Linked DNA regions of Saccharomyces cerevisiae S288C. The gene in region 2 interacts genetically with the main gene of each other region. Each region holds a gene or a part of one and is shown on either strand. Other genes may lie near its edges.

Evidence for each region. Genes that interact genetically often act in the same process or in processes that back each other up.
Region 1: mutations in ERD1 (region 2) and AIM44 together harm fitness less than expected from each alone (positive genetic interaction), as found in Saccharomyces cerevisiae (3 studies listed by BioGRID).

Annotation. Positions count from the first base shown.
Region 1 is NC_001148.4:250,122-256,163, reverse strand, and holds AIM44 (Aim44p), read left to right. Parts: upstream 1-1,853; coding exon 1,854-4,130; downstream 4,131-6,042. Other genes in the region: pheromone-regulated protein PRM4, read left to right, coding at 1-251; TGS1 (RNA methyltransferase), read right to left, coding at 403-1,350; PET20 (Pet20p), read left to right, coding at 4,496-5,257; leucine--tRNA ligase CDC60, read right to left, coding at 5,902-6,042.
Region 2 is NC_001136.10:1,292,612-1,300,590, reverse strand, and holds ERD1 (Erd1p), read left to right. Parts: upstream 1-3,904; coding exon 3,905-4,993; downstream 4,994-7,979. Other genes in the region: mRNA splicing protein SYF1, read right to left, coding at 1-2,159; YDR415C (putative aminopeptidase), read left to right, coding at 2,430-3,554; rRNA-processing protein RRP17, read right to left, coding at 5,191-5,898; DFM1 (Dfm1p), read left to right, coding at 6,197-7,222; STE14 (protein-S-isoprenylcysteine carboxyl O-methyltransferase), read left to right, coding at 7,500-7,979. UniProt on the Saccharomyces cerevisiae protein: Required for the retention of luminal endoplasmic reticulum proteins, affects glycoprotein processing in the Golgi apparatus.

The DNA of each region.
Region 1 (6,042 bases), on a different chromosome or scaffold from region 2:
TGGAAAAACACTCTCATGGCTATGAATTAGAAAAGTATATCAAACAAAATAAACTAAATATCGATACTAGTGCTGCCTTGGAATCCATTCAGTCGCCTTATTTATTTTTGAATGGTATTTCCGTGATAAATCGTGGAATGGTGAGAGATATAATCGAACCTCATTCGAAGGGATTGCTACTACCTCTTCTAAAGTCTGAAGCGCGTGGCAACTTGCTGGTAGAAAAAAAAGACATCCCTTCTAATTCTTAATTTGTTATCACTCCTATCGACGAGCAGCCGCAGCTAAAAGAACGTTTTAATTATTCCCAAATTCACGTAAGCGATCCTCTTTATGTGCTATATATACATTCATAACATAGTCATTGCATTTTCTATCATACGATTCAACTTGAACAAGTGTTTAACCATTTACGTCGTAAATGTCTACAGTATTATCTTTGGTCGTTGTTGTGGATTCATGCTTTTTTCTTTTCGAGAGCTCTTCGTTTTCAGAACTCAGCTCTTCCTTTTCGGACGACTCCCTTCGACTATTCTCCGTACTTGCTGGTTCGTAGTTAAAAAAGCATTCCCCCCACATGCAAAATATTCCTTTCATATATCCATTCTCCTTTACATATAATACTTTACATTTGGCAAATGGACCTAGTACTTTCCTCGTAGCTCGAGAAAGCTGGTTCAAATCAGAGTTCCTTGGCAAAAACATAATCACATTAGGGCTTAGTTTAAGAAAACTTTTCAACATCTTGGTAATCCCCATAGGCTTTAGATGTTGCTCTAAGTCATACACATCGTTTCTTAAGTATTCTGGACCACCCCACGGGGGTGATCCAAATACACAGTCGTACTTTATTTTGGAAAGTTTCTGCTTAGAGACTAGCTTTTTCCAGGATCCCCGCTTCAGCCATATTCTGTCGTCCACACCGTAGCTTTGGGCGTTTTTCGCAGTACAATATATGTGTTCAATACTGTAGTCCACTCCATAGACGTAAGGAAATTGCATGGCAAATTGTATGGTGTTCCCGCCCCCACCACAGAAAACATCCAGTATTCTTTCGGCATTTGGCATGCATGCCTTAACAAAATTTGCCAGGAAGCAGGCAATTCTTTCGGGCGTCACACTGAACCACAGCTCATCAGTCATATATATCGACGCCGAATCTATCTTTGAAAACAATCTACGCCTATTTTTCCAGTATTTGAAAAGTTTACCATTTTTCAACGGTTTTGATGATTCTATCTTATAGGCATCATTGTTCAATAATTTGATCAGAGTTCTAAAGTTGGAATGATGTTTTCTTTTGCGTGCCGCATGTTTTATTTTCGAAGCATGAATAAATGTCCTTCCCATCACTTCAGTTAAATCAACAAAAATTTTTTCTTCTACTTCTGTCTGTTGCCCCCACAACACGGTATATAATATGGGCAATCAATACAACGAAAAACTTACTCGCTGTTTGCGGAATAACTCACTTCCCCTTCATATAGTTTGGTGCGATGCCTTAGAATTTTTCATACATTGTTTTCATGTGGAAAATATTCAAAAAAAGCGATGGCTGGCGAAGATAAAAAAAAGGCTGCTCCAGCCATTCATTACACAGGCAATTCAATATTTCGGTTAGTAAGATAAAGAAGTCGATATGCCTATCCTTAAACATGTTCAACTGGGATAACCAGATTGCTGGGCTTTCAGCAGGTCATCAATTCTTGTACAAATATGTTGTATATATAGATTTAAGTGCTTGATAATTCGGTTGACAACTTAACGGCTTAACAAGTAAAACAAGAACAATTAACTTAACAATAGTGCTCAAATAAATTTGGCTTATTATCACAACAAATATATCATACGGAATGATCATCAGAGCTCCAATAAGGACAAAAACCAAGTCGTTTAGAGGCGATCAAATGGATTTTAAATTCCCGTCTAACGAAAGTTTACCAAGAGGAACGCTAGAAGAGTACCATTTGAATAATCATCATCTTTTAAATGATGTGTTTGCAGCAGAAAATGGAGTTTCTCGCGATGAAGACGGAAACTCTCAAACATTATCAGACTATACATCCACTTCCAATACAAATACAAATTCCGGTTATTCATCAAATGGATACTATTCATTTGCTAACATTTCTGACAATACTACGTCTTCACCACGTATTGTAATCAATCAAAATGAAACCGCTAGATTAACTTCCTCAGACTCGAACAAAAGTGACTTTTTTGCTTCTCATGACTTCCCAGGAAATGACTCTCTTCATTATAGCAGCTCAAATGTAGTTAAAAACCAGTTACATTCAATGGAAGCTATTCCAGAGGGAAACATAACTGGCTCAATCTCAACGGCATTCCAGACTATCCCAACAGCAGATAATGTTTCCTACGATATCGCGCCGTCATCAGCATCATCGTTATTACCAAGGAAATCGACATCTAAAAGCGCCATTCTGCCGTCGACCCAAGAAGCCAAACCGATGACCAAATTAAATATGGAAAAGGATATAAAAACTATCGAATTAAACAATAGCGTAGTACCGAAACCTAAAAAAAAGCTAAACAGAGTTCCGACCATAAGACGAGTTGAATCCTCGAGGTTTTCCAATTCCAGGTATAGTTCAAGTGTCAGCAGTAAATCAAGTAGCAGTCGTTGTTCTCTAAAACGATCAAAAGCTATTAGATGTAAGGGCGGACTCTTATATTATTTCACCTCATTGGGAATCAAGATAAAGAAAAAGTTACGGAAATTACGGCTAGTTTTAAGAAGAAGACTGTTTTCATATAATGTTCAAAAGGTCCCCTCCGCCACGAATTCCAAAACCACTAAATCTAAAGCAAACATTAACAACAAGTCAAAAAAAAGAGGGACGAACCTAGTCAACAAAAACAGCAACTCTACTCCGCGTCAAAAAAAATCGCAGAGATACGTCTCTAATTTACAACGGTCGATCTCATCAAAATCTTTAGTACCTGTATTGGCTCCACAAAAAAAGACTAAACCTTTGACAGTTGATACGAAATTTAAAGCAAACCATCCCCAATCTGAAGATTCCAAAGTTGGATCAAACACCCCAAGGAGCCCTTTGGTAAGCTATACTCCATCATTGAGAAGAACAAATTCCTCTATTAGAAGGGCTGCATCCATCCTAACCGCATCTGCCACTATGACACCGGCAAATAATAAAAACTCCTTCATTTCTGTACCGGATAATGTTAGTCATGCCGTCACTCGCAACAGCAGCATGTACTCGAGGTCAAGATTGGTAAGGTCAAAACCATCGACGGCCCTAAATGCAATTGCAAGACAGCCATCAATTGTGGTAGAAAATAAAGTTATTCCGTTATCCATGAATCGATATTCTATTAAAGAGGAAGACGAATATGTAATTGATACTAGTTCTATGAGAGAATTATCTCCCGTTAATAGCGTTTGCTCATCTGATTATGACAGAGAATCATCTGAAAGCTACTCTAATTATGCGGATGCAATGGAGACAACGGAAGTAGATAATAAGGACAGAGTTGAATGCAACAATGAAATTCAAAATGTGGATGCAAATAATGAGGAAACTTCAAATGAAGAGAGTTACAATTTGATGAAACATTATTTAAGCACCGTAATTGCTCAAAGAATTATGCTCAGGGTACAAATTGCTCGTATACAAAATTATAAGAGCAATGTTGTTTATATGAATAAATCAGCAGAAACAAACTCAACTATCTACGAAGATCTTGTCGATTCTCTATTAACTGAATATGAGGCTGATGGTAGCTCCTCCCAAATATTTGATGGCGTTACAGTAAGGGCCGACGAGGAAGAAGAAGAAGATGAAGATGATGAAGATGATGAAGAAGAAGAAGAAGAAAATGATGATGAAGAAGATGAAGAAGATGAAGAAGATGATGAAGATGATGAAGAAGAAGAAGAAAAAAGAAAAGAAGGAGAAGGAAGAAATTTGGCAAAAGAGGTAGACGAATTAGCGGAATTAAGTCCGATGAGAAAACAAAGCGATTTGAGTATTACGTTAAGATCTCCATTTGCTATGCTAAATCCTGCCTACTCAAACAGCATTATATCGCTACCAACAGGTGTGGTCAAGAGGTCATTGACTCTTCCTGTCGGTATGAAAATTTAAAAATATATAATAACATAAGTTTGCATTCATTAATATTAATATAAATCAACGTATCAACCATAAGAACCATAATCATAATAATTGTTTACCTTAATGGCGATATCGCCTTTTATCACCATCGACGATAACAAACGCCTATTCTGTCTACCGTTTCTTTTTTTCGCTCGCAATATCAGAATCGTTTATCCCAAAGGGTAGTTATAGCAACTATTTAAATAACTTAGATGTTTCTTTAACTTATTCCGTCATACGTACACAAACACCCGCTAGATATAGCACTCCTTGCTGTCGAACATTATAAAGGTGCTTTTAAAACTACTAATCGTATATTCAGCAGGTCAGAACGCAAAGTCGGACGATAAACTATGTTGAAGCTAGCTCGTCCATTTATTCCGCCTTTATCAAGGAACAATGCCATTTCTTCAGGAATAGTTCTCACTTCTAGAAGATTTCAGTCTTCCTTTACGTTCTTAAGTAACCAGTCTTTACTATCTAAAAATCAAATGAAATCCAAAAGAAAAAAGGGCAGTAAAAAGGCAGCGTACCATCGTCAACCCCCGGAACACGAACATACTGCACCACTTATAAAGCAAAACAAGACAATCACAAAGAAAGAACATAGCGATGTGAGAGGTTCTCATTTAAAAAAGAAAAGAAGCGATTTTTCGTGGCTACCAAGAGTACCATCCACCTCACATTTAAAGCAGAGTGACATGACCACAAATGTACTCTATTCTGGATATAGACCCTTATTCATCAATCCCAATGACCCGAAGCTAAAGGAAGACACCGGAAGTACGTTATACGAATTTGCGATGAAGCTTGAAGATTTAAATGAACCTCTATCACCATGGATTTCCTCTGCCACTGGACTTGAATTCTTTTCAGAGTGGGAGAATATACCTAGTGAACTACTGAAAAATTTGAAGCCTTTTCATCCACCTAAGGAAAAATCAATGAACACAAATGAGCTTATTCATGTAAGTGCTAAGAGAAATACATTAGTTGACAATAAAACAAGTGAGACGCTTCAGCGGAAAATGGATGAATTTTCAAAGAGAAGAGGAAAGGGGAGAAAAAAGTCAGTAGTGACGTTGCTCCAAATGAAGAAAAAACTTGAGGGATGATTATTGAAACGTTTCATTCTGATTTCTGTTTTCCTAGCAGGGAGATCTTCTTAGCATCAATGTGCTTTTTGTACGTGGTTACTTGGGTTTTATTTATTTTTAGTTTCTTCCGGTTCTGTTCACTTTATTAGGCCTTTTCATCTTTTAACATCATAGACCTGTTTATTATACATACGCAACGGTTTTTTTCTTACATCCTTAGAGTATATTACATTCATAAACTTTATCATTCATTTAGAACACCTTTTTTACATGTATATTTTTATATATTTATTTATTATTCTTTTACTTATTGACCTGCTCCTCTCATCCATCTATCTAATATAGTTTTCTCACGACTACTTTTCTCTAGACTAGTCAAATAGCCCTCAAACCCAGATATTTGCAGCTAAAATAACACGAATAAGTAAAGAATCAATATACATATCCTCCACAAGAAAATGTGGAAACATTTTACAAGAAAATGAACGAATACAAAACAAAAACAGTTGTGCAATTACAATAATTATACGATATATACGAGGCAAATTATCAATGCGACGTGATTTCTGGTTGCTGTTTATTGATCTTTATAAGTATTTCTATGAGAATTTCTTGTATCTTTTATCGGAAAATCACCATGAGGCATCTTGAAATATTCTCCTTTAAATATTTTGGAAGACAACACCTGGGTTACCTGGAACAGCATTTTCAACAATCTTTGTTACAGGTGGAATTTCAACTTCTTCACCAGTAAAGATATCCTTACCGGTTTTGGCGCCATATGGGAAAGAAATTGCGCTAAA
Region 2 (7,979 bases):
AAAGTAGACTCGGCCTTGGAAATACACATTCTCCACAGTTGCAGTCTACTTTCGAGGTGCGTGCTCACACTAACAGTACCTATTACAGCACCTCTACGTAATATCTCAATACTCTTGCTAATCAGACCACTTATCCTTTCTTCAAATACGCTATAAGCGATAAAAATTGTTTTACAGTCTATACCATTTGAACATAGATTCTTAAGTGCTTTCTCAAACAAAAATCTAATATGTTCAGGACTCAGTGATGACAATTGATGTGATGTCGCTACTTCTAGATACTCAATCCATAATTCGTATTGGATTTCGGGGGGAAACAGAGGGATTGTTTTCTCATACACCTGAAAACTTTCCATGACTTCGTAATGATTTTGTAAGAACAATGCAAAATTTTCTGCCATTGCTGGAGTGATCAATCTCAAATCAATAACAGTATTGTATGCCATTTTTGTCTTATTGAATATTTTATCGGAGGAATTTGCATCCTTTGGGCAGTAAGCCTCTAGATAATCAATGTATTTGGACCAAATACGTAATGAGTTGAATAGAACAGTTTGAGCAGGTATTTTTCTGTGTCCATTCTTATATTTTTCGAGGAGAATTTCTGGATTTGTTGGCACATGTAATGCATCTTCAAGGATAGAAAAAGCTCTTTCCACCCCTTCTTTATCTAATTCTCTATCAGCCCAGTTTAGGTAAATTTCTTCCAGATCTTCTATATAAGGATACGGTACCTTCAGAGATTGTGTCCACAATTCTCTAGCTGTACTAATTGCGTTTGATCTCCAATACAAATCCCCATACGAACACCAAAGCCTACCGAAAGAGCCAGGCGTACCAACTTTTCGGGGATCAATTTTCAGTATAGCTTCTGAATACACATTACACTTTTCCGCTGCTGACTTCTGCAAGGACACTCTTTTCATCCACGTTTCCACCAAGTTGGAATCTTGCCTTAGTGCGACATCGTTCAAATAGATATCATATAAGTTGATTAAAGATTCAAATGTCGCCATATGAGCTTGTAACTTTTCAGTCCAATCTTTTTGATTAAAGAATTTGCTGTCATTTTCCTTTAGCTTTCCCAGAATAAATTGGGAGCACTCTTGCTCAAATAGCAAATAGAAATTATAGATGCGATCAAAATCACTGTACCTAAGTGTTTGCTGTAAACTTTTCTTCAATAAATCACCACAACTGTCAAGCCTCCCGCGAGAGATATAATATTTGGCAAGTGATAGGATCAAAAAAAGCCATTTGTCGGGATATATGCCATTCATTTGCCTCATGAACTCCTCATATTGATTATCTAAACCTAGTTTTTCTAGGCTGGCCAAATAATTGAAATTTAATTCAAAAGGCAGTTCTGAACTAGGTAGATACTTCCCACTATTTTCATCTTGTGGCAAATACTTTTCATATACTGATTTGATGGTAATATTGTCTCTAGTTAATGCAAGAGTTGCCAGCGATTCATTTCGTTTTTGCTGAGGAGCCACTTTTAAGTATCTTTCTAAAATATGTGACGACCAAATATCACCTCTACTTCCGTTTTCACTAATTTCCTCGCTAATAAAACCTCCCTTCGTGAAACCCTTCACTAAAAGTACATTTATCAATTCAGCTTCATCAGTACTTTCTTCTTCATCTTCTTGAGTTGAATCCAGTTGCGTTAATGGTAAAACTTTTTCTTCCACAAATTTTATGACAGGATCCCAAACTTTCCGATGCATTTCTCTCTCCATTTTCATTAAAGATGAAGCTAAGGCATGCCTTATCATTGCCAAGTCATATTGTTCAATTGCCAATTCTAAATAAGACAAACATATCCTGTCACAATCTCGTACACAGCTTTTCAGGCACCTTTGAAAAAGCCAGAAAATACGTGAAGTTTCGACTACTTCCTTTGTTGATTCCCAGCGTATATAATCTTCCCATATACTTGTATCTGTTACAAATTGTGAACAAAATCTTTCATATAGCCACCTAATCTGTTTGTCAGTTCTTCCCTCCTCTTTCCAATACTCGATATATCTTTTCCATGTAAGTATGTTCTGCGGTGTCTTTTGTATTTCGTACTCAAAAGCCACATCTTCATCATTTCTTATGTTCTCATCGACGTTTGTTATTACTCCTTTCATTGCGATGTATGCTGACATAGGATATATGGACACAATAAGTTTTGCGGTACTGAAGGATAGTTGAGTCCAATATGGAGGCCTGATTATTTCCTTTTTTTCTATCTATTTCCTTTTGTATTATTTTGACTGAAAAGCTTGCCAGCGTCTTTACTAAAATCTTTCATATGTTCGGACCGCTATAGTAAACTGAAACTTGATATTCAATAATTATCAATCTTCGAAGCTAAAGAAATACAAAATCTTTATTCGAAAAAGTAAGTAACATAATCAACCGCTGATTAGCACAATATGAGGATACAGTCGCTTTTTGTTTTATTTAATGTTGCCATCATCGCATGGTCATATCCATATGAGCCTTTAAGGGTTTTACAAGTAGGAGAGAATGAGGTAATGGAGGTTCCCGAATCAGAAAAGCTAAACTTACGAAGAAGAGGTGTCAAATTCTTTGATGTGACCAAACACACTTCTTTCTTACCTTTCTTTAACAAGGAGGAAGAGCCAACAGTACCAACGTATAACTATCCTCCTGAGATATCGAACAAAGAAGTAGTGGATGATTCGATTAAGAATATAGACAAGGGCTCTATGCACAAGAACTTGGCAAAGTTTACAAGTTTTTACACCCGTTACTACAAGTCCGATCACGGCTTTGAATCTGCCGAGTGGTTAGCTGCAACTATCGCTAATATTACAAAAGATATTCCGCAAGATACGTTGACTATTGAACATTTTGATCACAAAGAATGGAAGCAATATTCAATTATAGTCCGTGTCACGGGATCTACTACGCCAGAAGATATTATAATAATTGGTTCTCATCAAGATTCTATCAATCTGCTACTGCCATCCATAATGGCAGCTCCAGGTGCGGACGACAATGGGTCAGGCACGGTGACTAATATGGAGGCTCTCAGATTATATACGGAAAATTTTTTGAAGAGAGGATTTAGACCTAACAACACTGTGGAATTTCACTTTTATTCCGCCGAAGAGGGGGGATTGTTGGGTTCTCTTGATGTTTTTACAGCTTATGCCAAACAGAAAAAGCATGTGAGAGCGATGCTTCAGCAAGACATGACGGGATATGTTTCTGATCCAGAAGATGAACATGTGGGGATTGTCACCGACTACACTACTCCCGCATTAACTGATTTTATAAAACTAATTATCAACTCTTATCTATCCATTCCTTACAGGGATACACAATGTGGCTATGCTTGTAGCGATCATGGGAGTGCCACCAGAAACGGATTTCCAGGCTCCTTCGTGATTGAAAGTGAGTTCAAAAAGACTAACAAGTATATTCACAGCACCATGGATACTTTGGACAGATTAAGTCTCGCTCATATGGCGGAACACACAAAAATTGTATTAGGGGTAATCATTGAACTCGGGTCATGGTCCGCTTGGTAAAAGTCAGTAATATGCATACATAACTAATGATGCCTTACCTTGGTGTTCTTTTGTAATATACCTAAACCGATATCACGCTAGTATTTATTTCCCGAATTTTTTTGGCGTATTTCGTCATCTGAAAATAACATAATCAATGAAAGAAATAGAGTCAGTTGCAAAAAGTGCAAGCCAGCGCTAACCGCTCCCGATTTAGTCGCAATATTGATGGCAAACAGTACCAAAAACTGGTTACCCATATAAATTGTTTGGCATTGTTATTATTGTTATAAATTATTATTGTTATTATTATAAATTATTATTAGTATTATACAAAGTTTTCAATTCTGCAACAAGTTGGGCCGCAAAATATGGAGAAAAGCGAAAGTAATTCTGAAGGACTTTATCTCCAAAATATATTAAATGTTCCCCCTCCGCAGCGATTTATTGTGCTCATAATACTTGCCCTTTGGATCTGGACATGGATATTAAAATTCTTCTTGCATAGTAATTTAGACGTATCCCAAGTCATACTCACGAGAGTACCGCACGATATACGTCCAGGTTATACTCTACAGCAATTGCATAGAACAGCTAGAAATTTTGCTTTGAAGATAACAAGGATTATTATACCGTTCCACTTTGCCACTGTGTTCCTTTTTGAGTTCATGAATATTATAGAAGGTCCACTCAAAAATATCATTCTCATCGTATATTTTCTACCATTGATCCAATGTGTCACTATATTTTGGTTTCTGTTGAAAGAGTGCCAGATAATAAAATATTGTACTAGGAGATGTTTGTTGATAGAATCCTCCCCCCGTTCCTTAAGGAATACCTACATTTTAATCTCTGACACGTTGACATCGTTTGCAAAACCATTGATAGACTTCACATTGTTTACCTCTCTAATTTTTAGAGAACCCTTCACACATTTTGATCTATCCGTAGCCCTTCTTCCTGTACTGGTAAGACTACTGCAGTGTTTGAGAGAATACCGTTTACTGCACGAAGCAACTTTACTATTCAATGCATTGAAATACAGTTGTAATCTTCCCATTCTTTTTTGCACCTGGAGATCAAGAGTGTATGAGGGATCCATCAACGAAGAAAGACTACACCACGTTCAAAGATGGTTTATGCTAATTAATTCTTCCTATACGTTATTTTGGGATGTAAGGATGGATTGGTCATTGGACTCGTTAACCTCTTTAAGATCCAGATCCAAAAGTGCCGTCACATTAAAGAAAAAAATGTATCATTCGGCGATTCTCGTTGACTTTTTGCTGAGGTTCTGGTGGCTATGGGTATATTTATCGCAGAATCTGAAATTAGTTGCCGCAGATAGCGACTACATTTTTTTCCAAGGCGAAATGCAGTATTTCGAAGTAATTAGAAGAGGCATATGGGTCGTTTTCAAATTGGACGCAGAGTATTATATTAAGTTTGCAAGCAAATAATTTGTTGGGCAAGCCATATAAAATCATGCAAATGCTGTAAATATTTGTTCTATTTTCCCCGTAGAATGGTTTATTCGATATATTACATATAATAAACGAAAAATACATATGCACAGTATATACTTTTCCAAAAAAAAATCAAACACTGTTTGAGCGTCAAGAAACCCCAGGCGGTGCCCGACGATAATGCGACTGCATTATCTCCTACGCTTGTTGTCGTTTGCCTTTCTTTGGTTTATTCTTCGTTCATTTTTGGTCAAATATCTGAACTTTTTTACTCTTGGCTTCTTCTTTTGTTTCTCATCCACGCCCAGAAACTTCGCGTATTTGGTGGCTCTATTTATGCTTTGTTTGAGTACTTTTTCTGCCTTTTCTAATTTGACATTATTTAGCTGGGCTAAATATTCAAAGTTATCATTGGGTTCCAATGTCTCCAATTCAACAGTAGTTGAGTCATCGTATATTTCCGTGATTGCTCCTTTCTTCAAAATAGGCTTTACGCTACTTTCATTATTGTCGTTATCGCCGTCATCTTTATCAGAATCAAACCCGTGCCAGGATTCATCAGATTCTACCTGCAAATCCTCCGTCTTATCATTTTTCGCATCCTCTATCTCAGCTTCCAAGTTTAAACTCTCTTTAAACGTCTTTAACTGTTCTTCCATCACCTCCTTACGTTCCTGCCGAATCTTCTGTCTTTCTTCAATTTTTCTAAGCCTTTCCTGCTCCTTAATAAACTCTTGTGCTTTCTTTTGTCTTTGAAGCTTTCTCTTGTGAAAGCCAGTCAGATAATCCAAACGAGAATCCTTGTCGAACGTCACCTCATCGGTACCGAATTTCTTTGATTGCTTTGTAGCATAGTTTTTGCCTCTTGTAAGGATTTGCCTATTGGTGTGAACAGCCATAGCAAAAATCGAAAACCTTTAATTCACCCCTCTTGATTCGAGCAGCTACCAGGAACTTGAATATTGCAACTCTCTATTTTTTATCTGCTATTATCTGCTGCTTTGCAGAATCGATCCTCATCACATTTGAAAAATTTCAAATGTGAAAAGTCCCTACTTACCCGTTCGCGGCTCATGAAATCGTGTCCTCTTCAATATAAGACAAGAGTATCAAACAAAGGATATAAGGCAAAATACAACAAATTACCAGTGAATTCCGCATTTCCAAGTCAAATCAAAAACTATTTTCGAGGAAATAATGGCAGGCCCAAGGAATGTGCGTACATTACATGGAAATGGAGGCCGTAATAATGATGTGATGGGCCCAAAAGAATTCTGGTTAAATATCCCCCCAATAACAAGAACTTTATTTACTCTAGCGATCGTTATGACGATCGTCGGCCGGTTGAATCTAATCAATCCGTGGTACTTTATTTATGTTTGGAATTTGACGTTCAAGAAGGTTCAGATATGGAGACTTCTTACTTCTTGTGTAATGCTTTCGTCTCGTGCCATGCCTGCGCTAATGGAACTATATAGTATTTATGACAGGTCCTCACAGTTGGAGCGAGGGCATTTTGGTCCCGGTTTGTCCAATAGACGAGGACCGATGGTAACAGTAGACTATGCCTACTACCTGTGCTTTTGTATACTAGCCATCACTACGGCCACTACAATCATTTATGGGTCCTACTACCCTGTTGTGCTCACCTCTGGGTTCATATCATGCATTACATATACTTGGTCGATCGACAATGCCAACGTGCAGATCATGTTTTATGGTTTGATTCCTGTTTGGGGGAAGTACTTCCCCTTAATTCAATTGTTTATCTCTTTCGTTTTTAATGAGGGTGATTTCGTAATCTCATTGATCGGTTTTACTACAGGGTACCTTTATACATGCTTAGATACCCATACACTGGGGCCAATATGGGGGATGATATCCAGAAAAGCTGATCCAACCTACGGAATCTCGCCCAATGGGAAATTCTCAACGCCATGGTGGTTTACTAGTCTATATGCTCGCATAACGGGTGCCCACAATGAAACTGCAACATTCAACAACAACTTTGCCAATGTGCCATCTTCGCAAAGAGAAACGAGAACTTTTAGTGGAAGAGGTCAACGATTGGGTACGGCCCCTGCAACATTGTCTCAAACCAGTGGCACAGATTCAGGCAGAGCTTCTGGAAGTCAATTAAGAAGTGGCCCATCGAATTTGAACCAATTTCAAGGCCGCGGCCAACGAGTAGGACAAACAAACAGCCCCTCCGACTCACAATAACAACTTTTATCTATTTCTATGTACTTTGCCATTCATTATATACATCAAGAGAGTCTGACATAGTATTTTCGTTGGCATAGCAACCGATTGATAATGAAACATCACTCAAGACGAATTGACAAATGGGCCACTATGGTAAAACAATTCTTTACATGATACCACCAGTATATAGAAAGGTTCTCGTGTTGATGAATTATATAAGAAAGTGAAAATCGATTTCAAGATAATTACTCTTTTTACCTCCTCTTTCATTGTGGTCACCGTTTTTGAACACAACATGCACCAAGATTTTCAAGAAGACGAGCATGAGTATCCAGACATCAGACGCAATCCGCTGCATGAGGTGACCATGACTTCCTACATACTGGGGATTCTTTTAGGTATATTTGTTGGTCTTTTTCCACAAATTAGATTCAAGAATTTTAACCTCTTTATTATTGCCCTGTCCTTATTCCATTTTTTGGAGTATTATATTACAGCTAAATACAATCCTCTTAAGGTACATTCAGAGTCCTTTCTTCTGAACAACGGCAAAAGTTACATGGCGGCACATTCCTTTGCTATTCTGGAATGCCTCGTAGAAAGCTTTCTTTTTCCTGATCTGAAAATTTTTAGCTACTCTCTAGCTACCAAGCTTTGTACAGTACTTGGATGTCTTCTAGTTATTCTGGGACAATATACCAGAACTATTGCTATGCATACTGCGGGACATTCCTTTTCTCATATTGTGAAGACCAAGAAGGAGTCCGATCATGTT